Linked DNA regions of Saccharomyces cerevisiae S288C. The protein of the gene in region 1 purifies or fractionates together with the protein of each later gene. This does not show direct contact. Each region holds a gene or a part of one and is shown on either strand. Other genes may lie near its edges.

Region 1 (5,540 bases):
ATTTCTAATGAAACGACAAATGATGTTGAAATTTCTATCCTGAAGGGAATATTAAATTTGTTTTCTAAAATCAGGTAACAGTCATGATGACTGAACATTGATCTGTTGATTTGACCAGTTGACTGCTTCCCCTTCCTCTTCCAACTCTTCCATTTCCTTTATGGCAATAGAGGATGGACGGTAAACTTCAACGTCCATTATCAATGGAATCTCAAGGATATCTTTCAATATGGAAAATTGTTGCTTATTTTTGTGGTCCTTAGTAACAATATTTTCTGACTCATATTGGTAATCCTCTATCAAATGGATAACATGGCCCATCCCCATGCTCAACGCGCTCCGCACATTGCTTTCGTTGTCATCAATAAACCAGGCATTTGCAAAGCTCGACAACCCACTTTGCAATTTAGCTGTTTCGAAGAATTTTGGATCTGGCTTGCAAATGAATTCTTCCTCGATGGGTCTGTCGTAGTGGCAATAGGTTATGCCGTCAAATAGATCAGCAATACCTAATATTTTAACACATCTGATGGCATGATTTTTGTACGAGTTTGTAAACAGCCATAGTTTGTCAAATTTGCCGAGCTTCTTTTTCTTTAAATTGATCAGCAGCTCCCTTAACTTCCAATCAGGCTTTAAATAGTCTTGCAAAGGTAAGGAATCATCGATGAATGTATTATATTGTAGGACGTCATCAATTTGTTTATTCTTTATTAAACCTTTCACGGATAATCCATATTCTTGATAATACGATTCGATTAGGCGTTCTGCCTCATCGTCGTCAAACCCCAATTCGTATTTAAAGAAATTTGATAATGATTGTTGCATGAGCAATTGTACCTTCGTAGATTTTCTGTACAAAGTGTTATCGATATCAAAGAAAAATACTTTTCGAGCAGGATCCGGATCCGGTAATTTGGGAGGATCCACCTCGAAATTGATTTGTGAGCCTAGATGTGTCAAGCTTTGCAAATGCTCCTGATTTAGTCGTATCTGCTTTTTGATTTGGTTTCTATAAATTGTTCTGTAATCTTTAGCGATAGTCATGATTACGTGCGTATAAAACTTATGTGTTTTTTATCTACATTAAATCTTTTACCAACTATGCGTTAAACCGAGTTCGTATATACATATATATATATATATATATATAAACATATATTTCTATACATGTACGAATGTATTACATATGCTAAATGTATGTATATACATTATATGCACATCTCCTAATAATGAGCCATTTCAGTATTGCGGCAAATACGGAAAAACCCGCAGAAACGATCGTACAGATCCAAGAACTTGGTTTGTATGTGAAGCACGTTGCTGCCCCCTTTTTTTCTCAACCATCTCCGGCGGCGACCGCCGGCTTTTTTCTTTCTTTTTCTGGAAAAAGAAAAACCCCCTATATCACCTTTGACGTTTACTCACTAAATACGAAATGCATTACCCTAATCTCACTTTAAACGAATGAAAAAAGAAAGGTGAGGGGGGAGACCGATGGAAAAAAAAATAAAAATTTTTTTCTTTTTTTTTTTCTTCGTTCACCTCATCTCAATTAATGGCTTTTCCTTGACGTAGTTCAGGTAACTTGGTAGTGATTCTCTTATAAAAAAAAATATTATCATATTTAACATGTTAGTGCCCGTGTAGTTTTTCTTCTTCTTTCTTAACTTTTTTCTTGCAAAAATTGTTTTCTTCCCCTCAGTGCTACAAACAGTAACTTGACAGAACCAAATATGCCACCAGTATCTGCGTCAAAGGCCAAGAGAGATGCTAAGAAAGCTGAAAGAGAGGCTAAGAAAGCCGCTGCCGGTAAAACCATCAGAAAGCTAGGTAGAAAAAAGGAGGCTGCTGCTGAAGAATCGGAGGTAGATGCAGCCGCTAGAGAAATCAAGATGATGAAGTTGCAACAAGATAAGGATGGTCTTTCAGATCGTGTTGTCACTGGTGTTTTGAGTTCATTGGAGACTTCCCGTGATATCAAGCTATCTTCTGTTTCTTTACTGTTCCACGGTAAAGTTTTGATCCAAGATTCTGGTTTAGAATTAAACTACGGCCGTAGATATGGTCTTCTGGGAGAAAATGGTTGTGGTAAGTCAACATTCTTAAAGGCTCTTGCTACTAGAGAATATCCTATTCCTGAGCATATTGATATTTATTTATTGGACGAACCTGCGGAACCAAGTGAATTGTCGGCCTTGGACTACGTTGTCACTGAAGCTCAACACGAATTGAAAAGAATAGAAGACTTAGTCGAAAAGACTATCTTGGAAGATGGTCCTGAGTCCGAGTTATTAGAGCCTCTATATGAAAGAATGGACTCTTTGGATCCAGACACCTTTGAATCTAGAGCTGCTATCATTTTGATCGGTCTAGGTTTCAACAAGAAGACCATTTTGAAGAAAACCAAAGATATGTCTGGTGGATGGAAAATGCGTGTTGCGTTGGCAAAAGCTCTTTTCGTTAAGCCAACTCTATTATTGTTGGATGATCCTACTGCGCATCTGGATTTGGAAGCTTGTGTTTGGTTAGAAGAATATTTGAAGAGATTTGACAGAACTTTAGTTTTGGTGTCCCACTCTCAAGATTTCTTGAACGGTGTTTGTACCAATATGATTGACATGAGAGCTCAAAAACTAACTGCTTACGGTGGTAACTATGATTCTTATCACAAGACAAGATCCGAATTGGAAACCAATCAAATGAAACAATACAATAAACAACAAGAGGAAATCCAACATATTAAAAAATTCATTGCATCTGCTGGTACTTATGCTAACTTGGTGAAACAAGCTAAATCTAGACAAAAAATTTTGGACAAGATGGAAGCAGATGGTTTAGTCCAACCTGTCGTCCCTGACAAAGTTTTCTCATTTAGATTCCCACAAGTGGAAAGATTGCCACCACCAGTTTTAGCATTCGATGATATTTCATTTCATTATGAGAGCAACCCATCCGAAAACTTGTACGAACATTTGAACTTTGGTGTCGATATGGACTCACGTATTGCCCTTGTCGGACCAAATGGTGTTGGTAAATCCACATTGTTGAAGATTATGACCGGTGAATTGACCCCACAATCTGGCCGTGTTTCTAGACATACCCATGTCAAGTTGGGTGTCTACTCGCAACACTCTCAAGATCAACTGGACTTGACAAAATCTGCTTTAGAATTTGTCCGTGACAAGTACTCTAACATCTCACAAGATTTCCAATTCTGGAGAGGCCAACTAGGTCGCTACGGGCTAACCGGGGAAGGTCAAACCGTTCAAATGGCTACCTTGTCAGAAGGTCAACGTTCTCGTGTCGTCTTTGCTTTATTAGCTTTAGAACAACCAAATGTCCTACTATTAGATGAACCTACCAATGGTTTGGATATCCCAACCATCGACTCCTTGGCCGACGCCATCAACGAATTTAACGGTGGTGTCGTCGTCGTTTCGCATGATTTCAGATTATTAGACAAAATTGCCCAAGATATTTTCGTTGTGGAAAACAAGACCGCTACCAGATGGGACGGATCCATTTTGCAATATAAGAACAAATTGGCCAAGAACGTTGTTTTGTAATTGTGAAGTTGATCTGCGCCGTGCACGTTTTTACTTCCCCTTTTATGTATTTTAATAGCAATAATTTATATAACTAATCAATCAATAAAGAAAGAAAATCACCGATAACAATGTGAAGGCAAGAAGATATAACAATGACTTCTCCGTATGTGTAAGAATATGAGGGTAATTGCGTAAAAATGTATATAAATGCCATCTTTATGAATAATCCGACCTAAATAAAACCCCAAAAAAAAAAATGAGAGCCCGCCCGCTCAAGTAGAAATAAAAAAATTTACAATCACAGCTACTCAAACAAAACTAGGTTTGGGTAGCGCTGCCTCATGTGGGATATCTGTTGTGAACGAAGCACCGGCAAAGGCCGTATGACCAGCTACGTGCGGTTTCGAATCGATCGACGCCGCCGCCCTATCCTGGTACTGTCTCGTTTTCTTCTTCTTGTATTTGCACGATTTTTTTTTAGGGGCCTTATCATGTAGGAAGGCATCTATGTTAACAGTGACCATCGTTGCCTTATCGTCCTCGTGTCCCGTCTTCGAGGTGCGTTCCCTAGGTTCTCGCCGCTGTTTTGTAGACTTACCGAAGTTTGGTTTCTTGCCATTGGGCAAACTCTGCGTCGGTGGAACTAATATTTGAGTTTTAGTGGGGCGCATGTGCTCCTTGGCGGAAGGAGGACTTTCCCTTGTGACAATCTTGACTTTTGCAGAATGTTTTGTCTCGGAACCCATTATGAGAGATATTTAATTTTGACTATTATAAAAACGTTTGTGTTTGAGTTTCTGTTAGTGTATAACTTTGTATGTAGTGACGTTATTGTCCGGTCTATCAGGAAGGTAATAGGGCACGGGAGGCCGTTGTTTTATAAGTACGGGCATAAGCCGCAAGAAAAAGAAACGTTAAGAACAAAGAAGAAAAAAAGGGGCGCTGATAATCTTTTCACGCAGTAACTGTCGTACCGCGCGATTAGAGCAGTCCATCAAGGAAATCCTGATCGGTCTCTAGTTCTTCCGGTAGATCGGTCGAAGGGGCACTGATCTTCTTGCCCGCACGATCATGATCACCTTGTACGTGAATGGGAACGACTAATGATTCGGGCTCAGCCGCTGTTATAGCCGATGTTGTATTCTGCCGTCCGAGCCAACGATTGAGCTCATCCGTATTCATCTGCTTGAGGTCTTTGATTTTCAAAGTATCTTTATTAGCAACATTATTGACGGCTGTGGCGTCGTCGTTCTGCTGGAGCCGATTTTTGAGGACGTCTTTTAGCACCTTGTTCAACTCTGCATTGGCGACTGCAGAATGCGGGTCCTCGAGTACCGGGTCCTCATAGTACCTGTCCTCGTTTGACTTCAGGGCGGGCTGTTCTTGGTCTTGATCTTTCTCCTCTGTGGTAGCTTTCTCTTCTTTTTGGCGGTTCAATAGCCGGTACTTTCTATCACTGGGTGTGGCATGTTTTCTTTTCAATTTCTGTTTATCTTGAAATTTTTTTCGATTATCCTTCTTTAAGCTGAATGCATCCATTGCGTTTTCAATTGTCTTGTTTTTTTTTTTGTTTTGCTCGTTTTAAGTAGAATAACGTTATTAGTTGTAGCATGTGCTCATCTCCATGAGGTTTCTCCTAATCACTTCCTTTCTTCTCCTTCACCCATACACCCGCCAGCTTTCTTCAATCCGGGTATCGGTTAAATGCAGAGTGCCTAAATGGGCTGCAGATTGACCACTTTGGGTTTTAAGCTTTTCTCCTGATCGCTTTATCCGGACATATTCTCTTAAACCGTTCTTCTACCCGTTTGGTAATACTTCATAAACACAATATGATATTGCTGAGAACGCATTTACGACTGCAAATCTACTATTGAAAACAATTTTAAACATCTGGTCCAATCCAAGGTTTAATAACTATCATTACTTGAGGTGCAACCGCTTTCTTGTACCTTAAATCTTAGCTGGTTATTTTCCTTTTTTTTTTTT
Region 2 (9,076 bases), on another chromosome or scaffold:
TCAACGGCTTTGAGCAGACTGCGGATATAGTATACATAGACTCTGAACTCGATTGAAGGATATATTTAACCACGACTTTCGCAAGAGAGACGGAGGGGGTGGGAAAAGGCTGAATGCAACCATTGTCACTAAGAATTTGAGTGTTCATGAACGAGTTATACACGCTATTTAAGAGTCAGAGAATGATGATTCAAGAAAATTCTGGCATTTTTCCTGTCCACCACTGTACGCCATTGTACACAAAAGTATTTTTTTATATTTTTTTTACAATTTTTTATAATTTTTTTTTATGTTTAGTGTATATTTGCTAGAAAGAAACAAGATCTTTTTTGGTAGTGTAAATGCTTAAACTTTGTCTCTTTTTCCTTTTTACTTTGGAAAAATGCCGACGCAAGAACATAGACATCTGCGAAAACCAAAAATAAAGTACCAATTGTACATACAAAAACAGAGAAAAAGTTCATGAACAGAACGTTACTACGGTATAGCAAGATCTTTGAATACATCCATTACTTCGGATTGTTCACCATACTTCAACACAGGCCAAGATAGACCATAGCTACAGTGATAGACGAATATTTATTTCAAAAGAAGCATCAACCATAAAATAAAAAGAAAAATGATGAAAAAAAAACCAAAGTGCCAAATTGCAAGGACCAAACCATCGGTCGAAAACGTCATACCATATAACCAATTCAAGAAGACGCAGCCGCGATTCAACGGCAACTTTTCTGCACTGAATAATGAAGAATACATAATACTCTTTGGCGGAGGTCGGGACCTGATACTAGGCTCCCTGACACCTTGTTCGAGCTCTCATTTGTCCAATCAAGCCAACCCACAAGACACCAGTGAGTATGGCACAGACCTGTTTATACTCAACAGCTGCATTATCATTTGGTTCAATGGCTTGGGATATGGGCTGGAAATTCCCTACAGCAGCGTTTTGTACCATGCATCAAGACGGCTACCAGATGGTAGGGAAGGGCTTCAATTAGAAATTTTGCTGACTTTGGAAAGAGACGAAGTGTTGGACATGCTCTACCAAAGCCTCGCGCCACAGGCCTGCGAATTCGACGGCGAAGAAGCACATGCCTTCACCGTGCGCAGCGTGGAATTGACTATCAGGCCCAAATATTCAATATACGATCGCCATTATAACAACGAAATCGAAACCCTTTTCACCTTCGAAAACTTCGGCGTGAACAGGGGCGATGACCTGGTAAACAATTGTAACGAAGCACTAGCCGTATGCATGGACCTGCACGGTGAGGACGTACAAGATCAAGACCAGGAACAATACCAAGATCCAAGCATGGCGTTTGAGGGTGCGCAAGATCTCAACGCCACGTATTCTGGGCTTGGAGACACCCTTCACGGGCCGCCCGTGTATCAGAACGACGGGCTGGCAGACGATCTGGATGGCGACCTCGTTATGGACAACGTGGTCTCTAGGGGTGGTCCAGAAGCAAGTATGTCTATGGAGTTCTACGCAAATCAAAATCTTGCTGGCAGAAAGAACTCCAGAGACAATGAATGAACAACATCTATTATGGGAACATCCCGCTGTACTATGCGGTCTCGTCCTCTACGAATATGGCTATTTGCCTTCGTATATACCTTTCTATACCAAGTAATGAATGTCTTGAGGGCCCGTATGGCCGCGCGAAGGCTTAGTTAAGATGTTTCAGCAAACGGCAGCATGTGAAAAAACCCGTAGAAGGTCCGCATCAGCCTTCCATGCCCGTGCACCCACGGCTCCTCGGAGGCCGGGTTATAGCAGCGTCTGCTCCGCATCACGATACACGAGGTGCAGGCACGGTTCACTACTCCCCTGGCCTCCAACAAACGACGGCCAAAAACTTCACATGCCGCCCAGCCAAGCATAATTACGCAACAGCGATCTTTCCGTCGCACAAGTTAAAAGAAATTGTTGAAAAATACAAATAATCGCGAACAATACGTTGTTGCTATTTAACGCTTTTGGTCTGACAGTAAGTGTGCCTTTCCCAATCACCGAAAAGTGTTGAACGATTCACTGCGACAATAATCAGAGATTACAGTCGGCATTTTGGCATTTTTGGCATACTTTTTATCGATTGAACCATCTTCTCCAAACACTTTTCCTTTTTCCTTCTATTCTGCAGGACCAACTAAAACTGGGTATATATATCATTATCTATATATATAAACGGCTTTCAACAAAGTTATAGGGGAAAACTAAAAATATAAGAAAAAAAAAGGTATTGATTGATAAGGAAAAAGAACCAAGGGAAAAATATAAAAAAGTACATTGGGCCTTTTCATACTTGTTATCACTTACATTACAAAGAAGAACAAACAACTTTTTTAAACGAATTTTCTTTCTTCCTTTTTCAATTTATTAATTCTTTTTTTCCATACAATTCAAGGTCAAATATATTCTTATATGCTCTTTGAATATTTCTGAAAAATATATAAAGAAAAGAAACTACAAGAACATCATCCGGAAAATCAGATTATAGACTAGGATTCCGCTCTTTTTAGTATATTTATTCGCCACACCTAACTGCTCTATTATTCGCTCATTATGGACGCTTACTCCACAAGACCATTAACCCTATCTCACGGTTCTTTAGAGCACGTGCTTCTGGTACCAACCGCTTCATTTTTCATTGCTTCGCAATTACAAGAACAATTTAATAAAATTTTGCCCGAACCCACTGAAGGGTTTGCTGCAGATGACGAGCCTACCACACCTGCTGAACTAGTGGGGAAATTCCTTGGCTACGTATCTTCTCTAGTCGAACCTTCCAAGGTCGGTCAATTCGATCAGGTCTTGAACCTTTGCTTAACAGAATTTGAAAACTGTTATTTAGAAGGCAATGACATTCACGCCTTGGCTGCTAAACTATTACAGGAAAACGACACAACTTTAGTGAAGACTAAAGAACTAATTAAAAATTATATTACCGCCAGAATAATGGCTAAGAGACCATTTGACAAAAAATCCAACTCTGCTCTTTTTAGGGCCGTCGGCGAGGGTAACGCACAATTGGTAGCCATTTTCGGTGGTCAAGGTAACACCGACGACTACTTTGAAGAATTGCGTGATCTATATCAAACTTATCATGTCTTAGTGGGAGATTTAATCAAGTTCTCCGCTGAAACTTTAAGTGAACTGATTAGAACTACTTTAGATGCTGAAAAAGTCTTTACTCAAGGTTTAAACATATTGGAATGGTTGGAGAACCCTTCAAATACCCCAGACAAGGACTATTTACTTTCCATTCCAATTTCATGCCCCTTAATTGGTGTCATTCAATTGGCTCACTACGTAGTTACTGCCAAGCTTTTGGGTTTCACTCCAGGTGAGTTAAGATCTTACTTAAAAGGTGCTACAGGTCACTCTCAAGGTTTGGTTACTGCTGTCGCCATAGCTGAGACGGATTCCTGGGAATCCTTCTTCGTCTCCGTAAGAAAAGCAATTACTGTATTATTCTTCATCGGTGTTCGTTGTTACGAAGCATACCCAAACACTTCCCTACCACCATCCATCTTGGAAGATTCCTTGGAAAACAATGAAGGTGTTCCATCTCCAATGTTGTCCATTTCCAATCTAACTCAAGAACAAGTTCAAGACTATGTAAATAAGACTAACTCTCATTTGCCAGCTGGTAAACAAGTTGAAATTTCTCTAGTCAATGGTGCGAAGAATCTAGTCGTATCGGGCCCACCACAATCATTATATGGTTTAAACTTGACTTTAAGAAAGGCCAAGGCCCCATCTGGACTGGATCAATCAAGAATCCCATTCAGCGAAAGAAAATTGAAGTTCTCCAATAGGTTCTTACCTGTTGCATCACCATTCCATTCCCATCTATTGGTTCCAGCTTCAGATTTGATTAACAAAGACTTAGTCAAAAACAATGTCAGCTTTAACGCTAAAGATATTCAAATCCCCGTTTACGACACTTTTGATGGTTCAGATCTAAGAGTCCTTTCAGGTTCCATTTCCGAGAGAATCGTCGACTGCATCATTAGATTACCTGTCAAATGGGAAACTACTACACAATTCAAAGCCACCCACATATTAGACTTTGGTCCAGGTGGAGCTTCCGGTTTAGGTGTTTTAACCCATCGTAATAAAGATGGTACTGGTGTTCGTGTTATCGTTGCCGGTACTCTCGACATTAACCCAGATGATGATTACGGATTCAAGCAAGAAATCTTTGATGTTACTAGTAATGGTTTGAAGAAAAATCCAAACTGGTTGGAAGAATACCATCCAAAATTAATTAAGAACAAATCAGGCAAAATTTTTGTCGAAACAAAATTTTCTAAATTAATCGGTAGACCACCTTTATTGGTTCCTGGTATGACACCATGTACTGTTTCTCCAGATTTCGTAGCTGCTACCACAAATGCTGGTTATACCATTGAGTTGGCCGGTGGTGGTTACTTTTCCGCAGCAGGTATGACCGCCGCTATTGATTCTGTGGTTTCTCAGATAGAAAAGGGTAGTACCTTCGGTATCAACTTGATCTACGTCAATCCATTTATGTTACAATGGGGTATTCCATTAATCAAGGAACTAAGAAGCAAAGGTTATCCAATTCAATTCTTGACCATTGGTGCTGGTGTCCCATCATTGGAAGTTGCTAGTGAATACATAGAGACATTAGGTTTGAAGTACTTGGGTTTGAAACCAGGTTCCATTGATGCTATTTCGCAAGTTATAAACATTGCTAAAGCACATCCAAACTTCCCAATAGCTTTACAATGGACCGGTGGTAGAGGTGGTGGTCATCATTCTTTCGAAGATGCCCACACTCCAATGTTACAAATGTACTCCAAGATTAGAAGACATCCAAACATTATGTTGATATTCGGTTCTGGTTTCGGTTCTGCTGATGACACTTACCCATACTTAACCGGTGAATGGTCCACAAAATTCGATTATCCACCAATGCCATTCGATGGTTTCCTATTTGGTTCGAGGGTCATGATTGCTAAGGAAGTTAAAACTTCTCCTGATGCTAAGAAGTGTATTGCTGCTTGTACTGGTGTTCCTGATGATAAATGGGAACAAACCTACAAGAAGCCAACTGGTGGTATTGTCACTGTTCGCTCTGAAATGGGTGAACCAATTCACAAAATTGCCACTCGTGGTGTTATGCTATGGAAGGAATTCGACGAAACCATCTTCAACTTACCAAAGAATAAGTTGGTACCAACTTTGGAAGCAAAGAGAGATTACATTATCTCAAGATTGAACGCCGATTTCCAAAAACCATGGTTTGCTACCGTCAACGGTCAAGCCCGTGACCTAGCCACAATGACATACGAAGAAGTTGCAAAGAGATTGGTGGAATTAATGTTCATCAGATCTACCAACTCTTGGTTTGATGTCACATGGAGAACCTTTACTGGTGATTTCCTACGTCGTGTCGAAGAACGTTTCACTAAAAGTAAGACATTGTCTTTAATCCAATCCTATTCTCTACTAGACAAGCCTGATGAAGCTATTGAAAAAGTATTTAATGCTTATCCTGCCGCTAGGGAACAGTTCTTGAATGCGCAAGATATTGATCACTTTTTGAGCATGTGTCAAAATCCAATGCAAAAACCAGTGCCTTTTGTTCCAGTTTTGGATCGTAGATTCGAGATTTTTTTCAAAAAAGATTCGTTATGGCAATCTGAGCACTTGGAAGCCGTCGTCGACCAAGACGTTCAAAGAACATGTATCCTACATGGACCTGTTGCAGCACAATTCACTAAAGTCATCGATGAACCAATTAAGAGCATTATGGATGGTATTCACGATGGTCACATCAAAAAGTTACTACATCAATATTACGGTGACGATGAGTCAAAGATTCCAGCAGTTGAGTACTTTGGTGGTGAAAGCCCTGTAGACGTACAAAGTCAAGTTGATTCTTCCTCTGTATCTGAAGACTCAGCTGTTTTTAAGGCAACATCCTCTACTGATGAAGAAAGCTGGTTTAAGGCTTTGGCGGGATCCGAAATTAACTGGAGACATGCAAGTTTCTTATGTTCCTTTATCACTCAAGATAAAATGTTTGTTTCTAACCCAATTAGAAAAGTTTTCAAGCCAAGCCAAGGAATGGTTGTTGAGATTTCCAACGGCAATACTTCTTCAAAGACTGTTGTCACTCTTTCAGAACCTGTTCAAGGTGAATTGAAACCAACTGTTATTTTGAAGTTGTTGAAGGAGAACATAATCCAAATGGAAATGATTGAGAACAGAACTATGGATGGTAAGCCCGTCAGCTTGCCATTGTTGTACAACTTCAACCCAGATAATGGTTTTGCTCCAATCTCTGAAGTTATGGAGGACAGAAACCAAAGAATTAAGGAAATGTACTGGAAATTATGGATTGATGAGCCTTTCAATTTGGACTTTGACCCAAGAGATGTCATTAAGGGCAAAGATTTCGAGATCACCGCTAAAGAAGTTTATGACTTTACACACGCTGTTGGAAACAATTGTGAAGACTTCGTTTCTAGACCTGATAGAACGATGTTGGCCCCAATGGACTTTGCTATTGTTGTCGGATGGAGAGCCATCATCAAGGCCATTTTCCCTAATACGGTCGATGGTGACTTATTGAAGTTGGTTCATTTGTCTAACGGCTACAAGATGATTCCTGGCGCTAAGCCACTGCAAGTTGGTGATGTTGTTTCAACTACTGCTGTTATTGAATCTGTCGTCAACCAACCTACAGGAAAGATTGTCGATGTGGTAGGTACATTATCGAGAAATGGCAAGCCTGTCATGGAAGTCACCTCCTCATTCTTCTACAGAGGCAACTATACTGACTTTGAAAACACTTTCCAAAAGACTGTTGAACCTGTTTATCAAATGCACATCAAAACTTCTAAAGATATAGCTGTCTTGCGCTCTAAGGAGTGGTTCCAATTGGACGATGAAGACTTCGATCTGTTAAACAAAACTTTGACTTTCGAAACTGAAACTGAAGTTACTTTCAAGAATGCTAACATCTTCTCTTCAGTGAAATGTTTTGGCCCAATTAAAGTTGAATTGCCAACCAAAGAAACCGTGGAGATCGGTATTGTCGATTACGAAGCCGGTGCCTCTCACGGTAACCCTGTTGTTGATTTCTTGAAGAGAAACGGTTCCACATTGGAACAAAAGGTCAATCTAGAAAATCCTATTCCAATTGCAGTACTTGATTCGTACACTCCAAGTACCAACGAACCATACGCTAGAGTTTCTGGTGATTTGAATCCAATTCACGTTTCACGTCATTTTGCCTCTTACGCAAACTTGCCAGGTACTATCACGCACGGTATGTTTTCTTCTGCTTCCGTCCGTGCTTTGATTGAAAACTGGGCTGCTGACAGTGTTTCATCCAGGGTACGTGGCTACACTTGTCAATTTGTTGACATGGTTTTGCCTAACACTGCTTTGAAAACATCGATTCAACATGTTGGTATGATCAATGGTAGAAAATTGATAAAGTTTGAAACTAGAAATGAAGATGACGTTGTAGTTTTGACTGGTGAAGCCGAAATTGAACAACCTGTTACTACCTTCGTTTTCACTGGTCAAGGTTCACAAGAACAAGGTATGGGTATGGACTTATACAAAACTTCTAAAGCTGCTCAAGATGTTTGGAATAGAGCTGACAACCATTTCAAGGACACTTATGGTTTCTCTATCTTAGACATTGTCATTAACAACCCAGTTAACTTAACAATTCACTTCGGTGGTGAAAAGGGTAAGAGGATCAGAGAAAACTATTCTGCTATGATCTTTGAGACTATCGTGGATGGAAAATTGAAGACTGAAAAAATTTTCAAGGAAATTAATGAGCACAGTACTTCTTACACATTTAGATCTGAAAAAGGTTTATTGTCTGCTACTCAATTTACACAACCAGCTTTAACTTTGATGGAAAAAGCTGCTTTCGAAGACTTGAAATCTAAAGGTTTGATCCCAGCCGATGCTACTTTTGCTGGTCACTCTTTAGGTGAGTATGCTGCTTTGGCCTCTTTGGCTGATGTTATGTCTATCGAATCTTTAGTTGAAGTTGTGTTCTACAGAGGTATGACTATGCAAGTTGCTGTTCCAAGAGATGAGTTGGGCAGATCCAACTATGGTATGATTGCCATTAACCCAGGTAGAGTCGCTGCATCATTCTCTCAAGAAGCTTTGCAATATGTTGTTGAGAGAGTTGGTAAGAGAACCGGCTGGTTGGTTGAAATCGTCAACTACAACGTTGAAAACCAACAATATGTTGCAGCTGGTGATCTAAGAGCTTTAGACACCGTTACCAATGTTCTAAACTTCATCAAATTACAAAAAATTGATATTATTGAACTACAAAAGTCCTTATCTTTGGAAGAAGTTGAAGGTCATTTGTTTGAGATCATTGACGAAGCTTCCAAGAAATCTGCTGTCAAGCCTCGCCCACTTAAATTGGAGAGAGGTTTTGCTTGTATCCCATTAGTTGGTATTTCTGTTCCTTTCCATTCCACCTACTTGATGAATGGTGTTAAACCATTCAAGAGTTTCTTGAAGAAGAATATCATAAAAGAAAATGTGAAGGTTGCTAGATTGGCCGGAAAGTACATTCCAAACTTGACTGCAAAACCATTCCAGGTTACTAAGGAATATTTCCAGGACGTTTATGATTTGACTGGCTCCGAACCTATCAAGGAAATCATCGACAACTGGGAAAAGTATGAACAATCCTAATTTCTTAAGTGATTATATAACCGTAAGAAATATTTAACTTTGAAACTCCTGTATACTAATGTTTAATATAGCTGGCTTATGATTTTAGTTCTCTTCTCCTATTATAAATAGATACATTGATTAGGTATTTTTATAATATACTTGGGATTAACAGATGCTATATGAATTTTTTTTTCCGCCGCAAGCCCTCGCTAGGGCGGGGCAGATGCTGAAGAAAAAATTTTCTGTTCCATTGGGTTATGTTTAAAAATCAACGATATTCGAACATAATCGATGACCTTGATGATTAGCGAAGTTCTGCTCTAAAGAAATTAGCTTTAAAAACAGCTCCATTATTAGTGTAAACTGCTA
Region 3 (4,118 bases), on another chromosome or scaffold:
AGTTCCGATCCTGAGTACGAACGTCAAATTATGGTTGTCGTTGATAGAATCAATTCTTTGTCTTCGAACATCAGTATCTCTCAACCAGTGGTCTTTTTGCATCAAGATTTAGATTTTGCTCAATATTTGGCATTGAATTGTGAAGCTGACGTTTTCCTTGTGGATGCGCTGAGAGAAGGTATGAATTTAACATGTCATGAGTTCATTGTCAGTTCATTCGAAAAAAATGCGCCTCTATTATTATCTGAATTCACTGGTAGTTCTTCTGTCCTAAAGGAAGGTGCCATCTTAATAAACCCATGGGATATAAATCATGTAGCACAAAGTATCAAGAGAAGTTTAGAAATGTCTCCAGAAGAAAAAAGGCGTAGGTGGAAAAAATTATTCAAATCTGTTATTGAACATGATTCGGATAATTGGATTACAAAGTGCTTCGAATACATAAATAATGCTTGGGAGTCCAACCAAGAAACGTCTACTGTTTTCAATTTGGCTCCAGAAAAATTCTGTGCTGATTACAAAGCCTCCAAAAAGCATTTATTTATCTTCAAGATTTCAGAACCTCCAACGTCCAGAATGCTATCCTTGCTAAGTGAATTGAGTTCAAATAATATAGTTTACGTTTTGAGTTCATTTACAAAGAATACATTCGAAAGCTTATACAATGGTGTTCTAAACATCGGATTGATAGCGGAGAATGGTGCCTACGTAAGAGTTAATGGGTCGTGGTACAACATCGTGGAAGAGCTTGATTGGATGAAAGAGGTGGCAAAGATCTTTGACGAGAAAGTCGAGAGGTTACCTGGTTCATACTACAAAATCGCTGATTCTATGATCAGATTCCATACAGAAAACGCTGATGATCAAGATCGAGTCCCAACTGTTATTGGGGAAGCCATTACGCACATAAACACCTTATTTGATGACAGGGATATTCACGCTTATGTGCATAAGGATATTGTCTTCGTTCAACAAACGGGGCTAGCCTTAGCCGCCGCTGAGTTTTTGATGAAATTTTACAACAGTGGCGTCAGTCCTACTGACAATAGCAGAATATCTCTATCAAGAACATCCTCTTCGATGTCCGTCGGTAATAATAAGAAGCATTTCCAAAACCAGGTAGATTTCGTTTGCGTTTCCGGTTCGACATCACCTATTATTGAACCATTATTTAAATTAGTGAAGCAAGAGGTTGAAAAGAACAATCTAAAATTTGGTTACACCATTCTTTACGGTAGCTCAAGATCCACTTATGCCAAGGAACATATCAATGGTGTCAATGAACTTTTTACCATCCTTCATGACTTGACAGCCGCCTAAGCGATCATTTTCCCTCCTGTACTTTCAAAATGTTCTCTTTCTTATTCTTCAGTTATAGTTTTTACGAGCGATTATAAATATAAAAGTACGATCTTCCTTTTACGTATATATGTATATACAGCACGATAAATTACAAACAAGTTTCAACTAACAATGTGGGTTATTTCTCATATTGTTAATGAGATCTTATAATAATCATTATACACGAACGCTATTTTTCACTTTTTTTTCATTTTTGTTTTCGCCGCAAGAAGTAATAGTGAAAAATTGAAAAAAGCTTCAATTTTAGTTTGCTGAAAGAAACCTTTACTTATGTAGAAGGTGTACTTGCAAAAGCACTAGTGTAATATAGAGCAAAGTTCATCATGGGTAAGAAAAACACTAAAGGTGGTAAAAAAGGTAGAAGAGGTAAGAACGACTCTGACGGTCCAAAGCGTGAACTTATTTATAAGGAAGAAGGCCAAGAATATGCTCAAATCACCAAGATGTTGGGTAATGGAAGAGTCGAAGCCAGTTGCTTTGATGGTAATAAGAGAATGGCCCATATTAGAGGTAAGTTAAGAAAGAAAGTCTGGATGGGACAAGGTGATATTATTCTTGTTTCCTTAAGAGATTTCCAAGATGACCAATGTGATGTTGTCCACAAATATAATTTAGATGAAGCCAGAACACTGAAAAACCAAGGTGAACTTCCTGAAAACGCCAAAATTAATGAAACAGACAACTTTGGTTTCGAATCTGATGAAGACGTTAACTTTGAATTTGGTAACGCTGATGAAGATGATGAGGAAGGTGAAGATGAAGAACTTGATATTGATGACATTTAATTTAGGCCGAACAAGTGTCCTCAATATCTTCTAATGCGTCAACTATTCATAATTTATTTATAATTATATTTTTTAGTCCATCATAGGAAAGGGTTTTCTTTTTACTATATCGAAATACTTATATATAGATATCAAAAAAAGAATAAAAATGAAATACCTCAAGAAGTCGTTTAATCTTCCTTCTAGGGTTTCTTTCAAGCGGACGTTAAGGAGACGTAATAAAAATTTTCTCGCACGAGAAATTTGAGCAAAGAGCACGTTGCGAATACGTTTTATCCATTCATCGTTTTTAATTTATTACCTTTTCTTTCGATGCTGTTTATTGTCACTCATGAGTGCTTCCGTTTTTTCCATCGAAAATTTACTTTTTTAGACTGAAAAGAAAATGAAAAGTTAAAATAAATTTTTACCAGAAAATGCTCATCGCAGGAAAATGACAATACTATTGTGAGCTTCCCGAGGTACACATTACTTCATACTGAAAGTTTCAAAAAATGACTACGGATGTGCAATTTTCAAGTCAGGAAATCGAGCTTTTCCGTGTCAAAGAATTCTTGATTGCTAATAATCCAGCAAAGATCAACAATGAAAATAAGGATGCTGTTTTAACTCAGATTGAGCATGATTTCAGGTATTTAATACAGTATATCAAGGACGGATTACCGAACTTAAATGAGTCCACAAGGTTAATTTTTCCAGATACCTTTTCGATCTGTTTACTAAGGAGCCATCAAATAATTGCAAGCAAAAAAATTGACTCTCAAGAATTTTTATCGGCGGTAAAAGAGCAACTCTTAACTGAAGCGAATGCAAATATTATCTTTGAATATGTTCTTGACTTTTGGGCTGATGGTGGAGCCCCACTGATGAATGCCTTGAGAGATTTATTCAGTAAACTACTGAACTTATTGAAAATCACATATCCTATGTCAACCTTGAAGGATGTTTTATTTAATTGGATGAATGAAATATTAGAAGTACCATCTACGTTGCGTGTTCAGTATTACTTGATTGATGCCCTTTCTTCTGATTTTGACCTTTATTATATTATAGAAAAAAAGCCTCATTTCATCGATAACTCTTTTTCATTAATGAACTCTGATTTGCTAGCAAATTCGGTAGGTAAATGCATTGTTAGTTTGCTGTTAAACATTTACGAAAAGCATTTCAAAAAGAACGAGTCTTTTGTACAAGAATGGATACAATTATGGAAAAGTTGTGCTTTAAAGTACATTCACGACAAACAATACACCAAATCCATTAATCTGTATATTATGATTCCATTATTCAAAAATATGCCAAACTCGGCCTTCACACTTTTCCTAGAATGTATGTCTAACAAAGACCCATCACTTTTGCTCTCACTTTTAAAGATTGGCCAAGAATTGGGGATTGAAGAAGAACCATTTTGTGATAATAAATATACCACTGTAGATTCTGTTAACAAACTCATAGAGCAAGATGAGTATAAACTTCAGGTATTTGAAATACTGACCTTTTCGACAAAAAAGTCAAAGCCTATTCGTCCCTTCGTCTTCAAAACTATAAAACAGTACCTATATGTGTTCTTCGTGGACACTGAACTTGAACGCAGAAATTACTTTTGCAGTTCGATGAAACACTTTATATTTAGAACCAGAGACTGCGCATACTCTTTAGCTAGGGATGCCAGAAAGCTTAAAAAGGCTGAGAAATTTCCGGACGAACAGAGGGAAAAGTTGGCGCAAGTTGAGGAGGCTAGAGCCTTTTTGGTTTGGCTATGCAATTTTATAAAATATAATTTGGCCCCTGGTACTTTATATCAGGCGAACGTGACCTCATTAAAACTTATGCACATTCTGATCAAGTCTGGTGTTGATAAATCTACTCCACAAAAATTTTTAGACAACCAAAATAAGAGGGAATATCCTTTTTCTATCCCAATTTTACAGGATGTCACATTTTTAAGGTTGCTCATTGACCTTTTGGTTA

What was found.
Region 2: the proteins of ARB1 (region 1) and FAS1 purify together in Saccharomyces cerevisiae (affinity purification with mass spectrometry, with the first as the bait; one study listed by BioGRID). This does not show direct contact.
Region 3: the proteins of ARB1 (region 1) and TIF11 purify together in Saccharomyces cerevisiae (affinity purification with mass spectrometry, with the first as the bait; one large-scale study listed by BioGRID). This does not show direct contact.

What each region holds. Positions count from the first base shown.
Region 1 is NC_001137.3:221,396-226,935, reverse strand, and holds ARB1 (ATP-binding cassette family ATPase ARB1), read left to right. Parts: upstream 1-1,736; coding exon 1,737-3,569; downstream 3,570-5,540. Other genes in the region: Smc5-Smc6 complex subunit KRE29, read left to right, coding at 1-78; PHM8 (bifunctional nucleotidase/lysophosphatidic acid phosphatase), read right to left, coding at 82-1,047; EDC2 (Edc2p), read right to left, coding at 3,860-4,297; YER034W (uncharacterized protein), read right to left, coding at 4,533-5,090. UniProt on the Saccharomyces cerevisiae protein: ATPase that stimulates 40S and 60S ribosome biogenesis.
Region 2 is NC_001143.9:98,102-107,177, forward strand, and holds FAS1 (tetrafunctional fatty acid synthase subunit FAS1), read left to right. Parts: upstream 1-2,569; coding exon 2,570-8,725; downstream 8,726-9,076. Other genes in the region: ornithine decarboxylase SPE1, read left to right, coding at 1-56; YKL183C-A (uncharacterized protein), read right to left, coding at 294-506; LOT5 (Lot5p), read left to right, coding at 620-1,540. UniProt on the Saccharomyces cerevisiae protein: Fatty acid synthetase catalyzes the formation of long-chain fatty acids from acetyl-CoA, malonyl-CoA and NADPH.
Region 3 is NC_001145.3:787,407-791,524, reverse strand, and holds TIF11 (translation initiation complex factor eIF1A), read left to right. Parts: upstream 1-1,685; coding exon 1,686-2,147; downstream 2,148-4,118. Other genes in the region: TPS3 (trehalose 6-phosphate synthase/phosphatase complex subunit), read left to right, coding at 1-1,320; tRNA methylation protein TRM732, read left to right, coding at 2,642-4,118.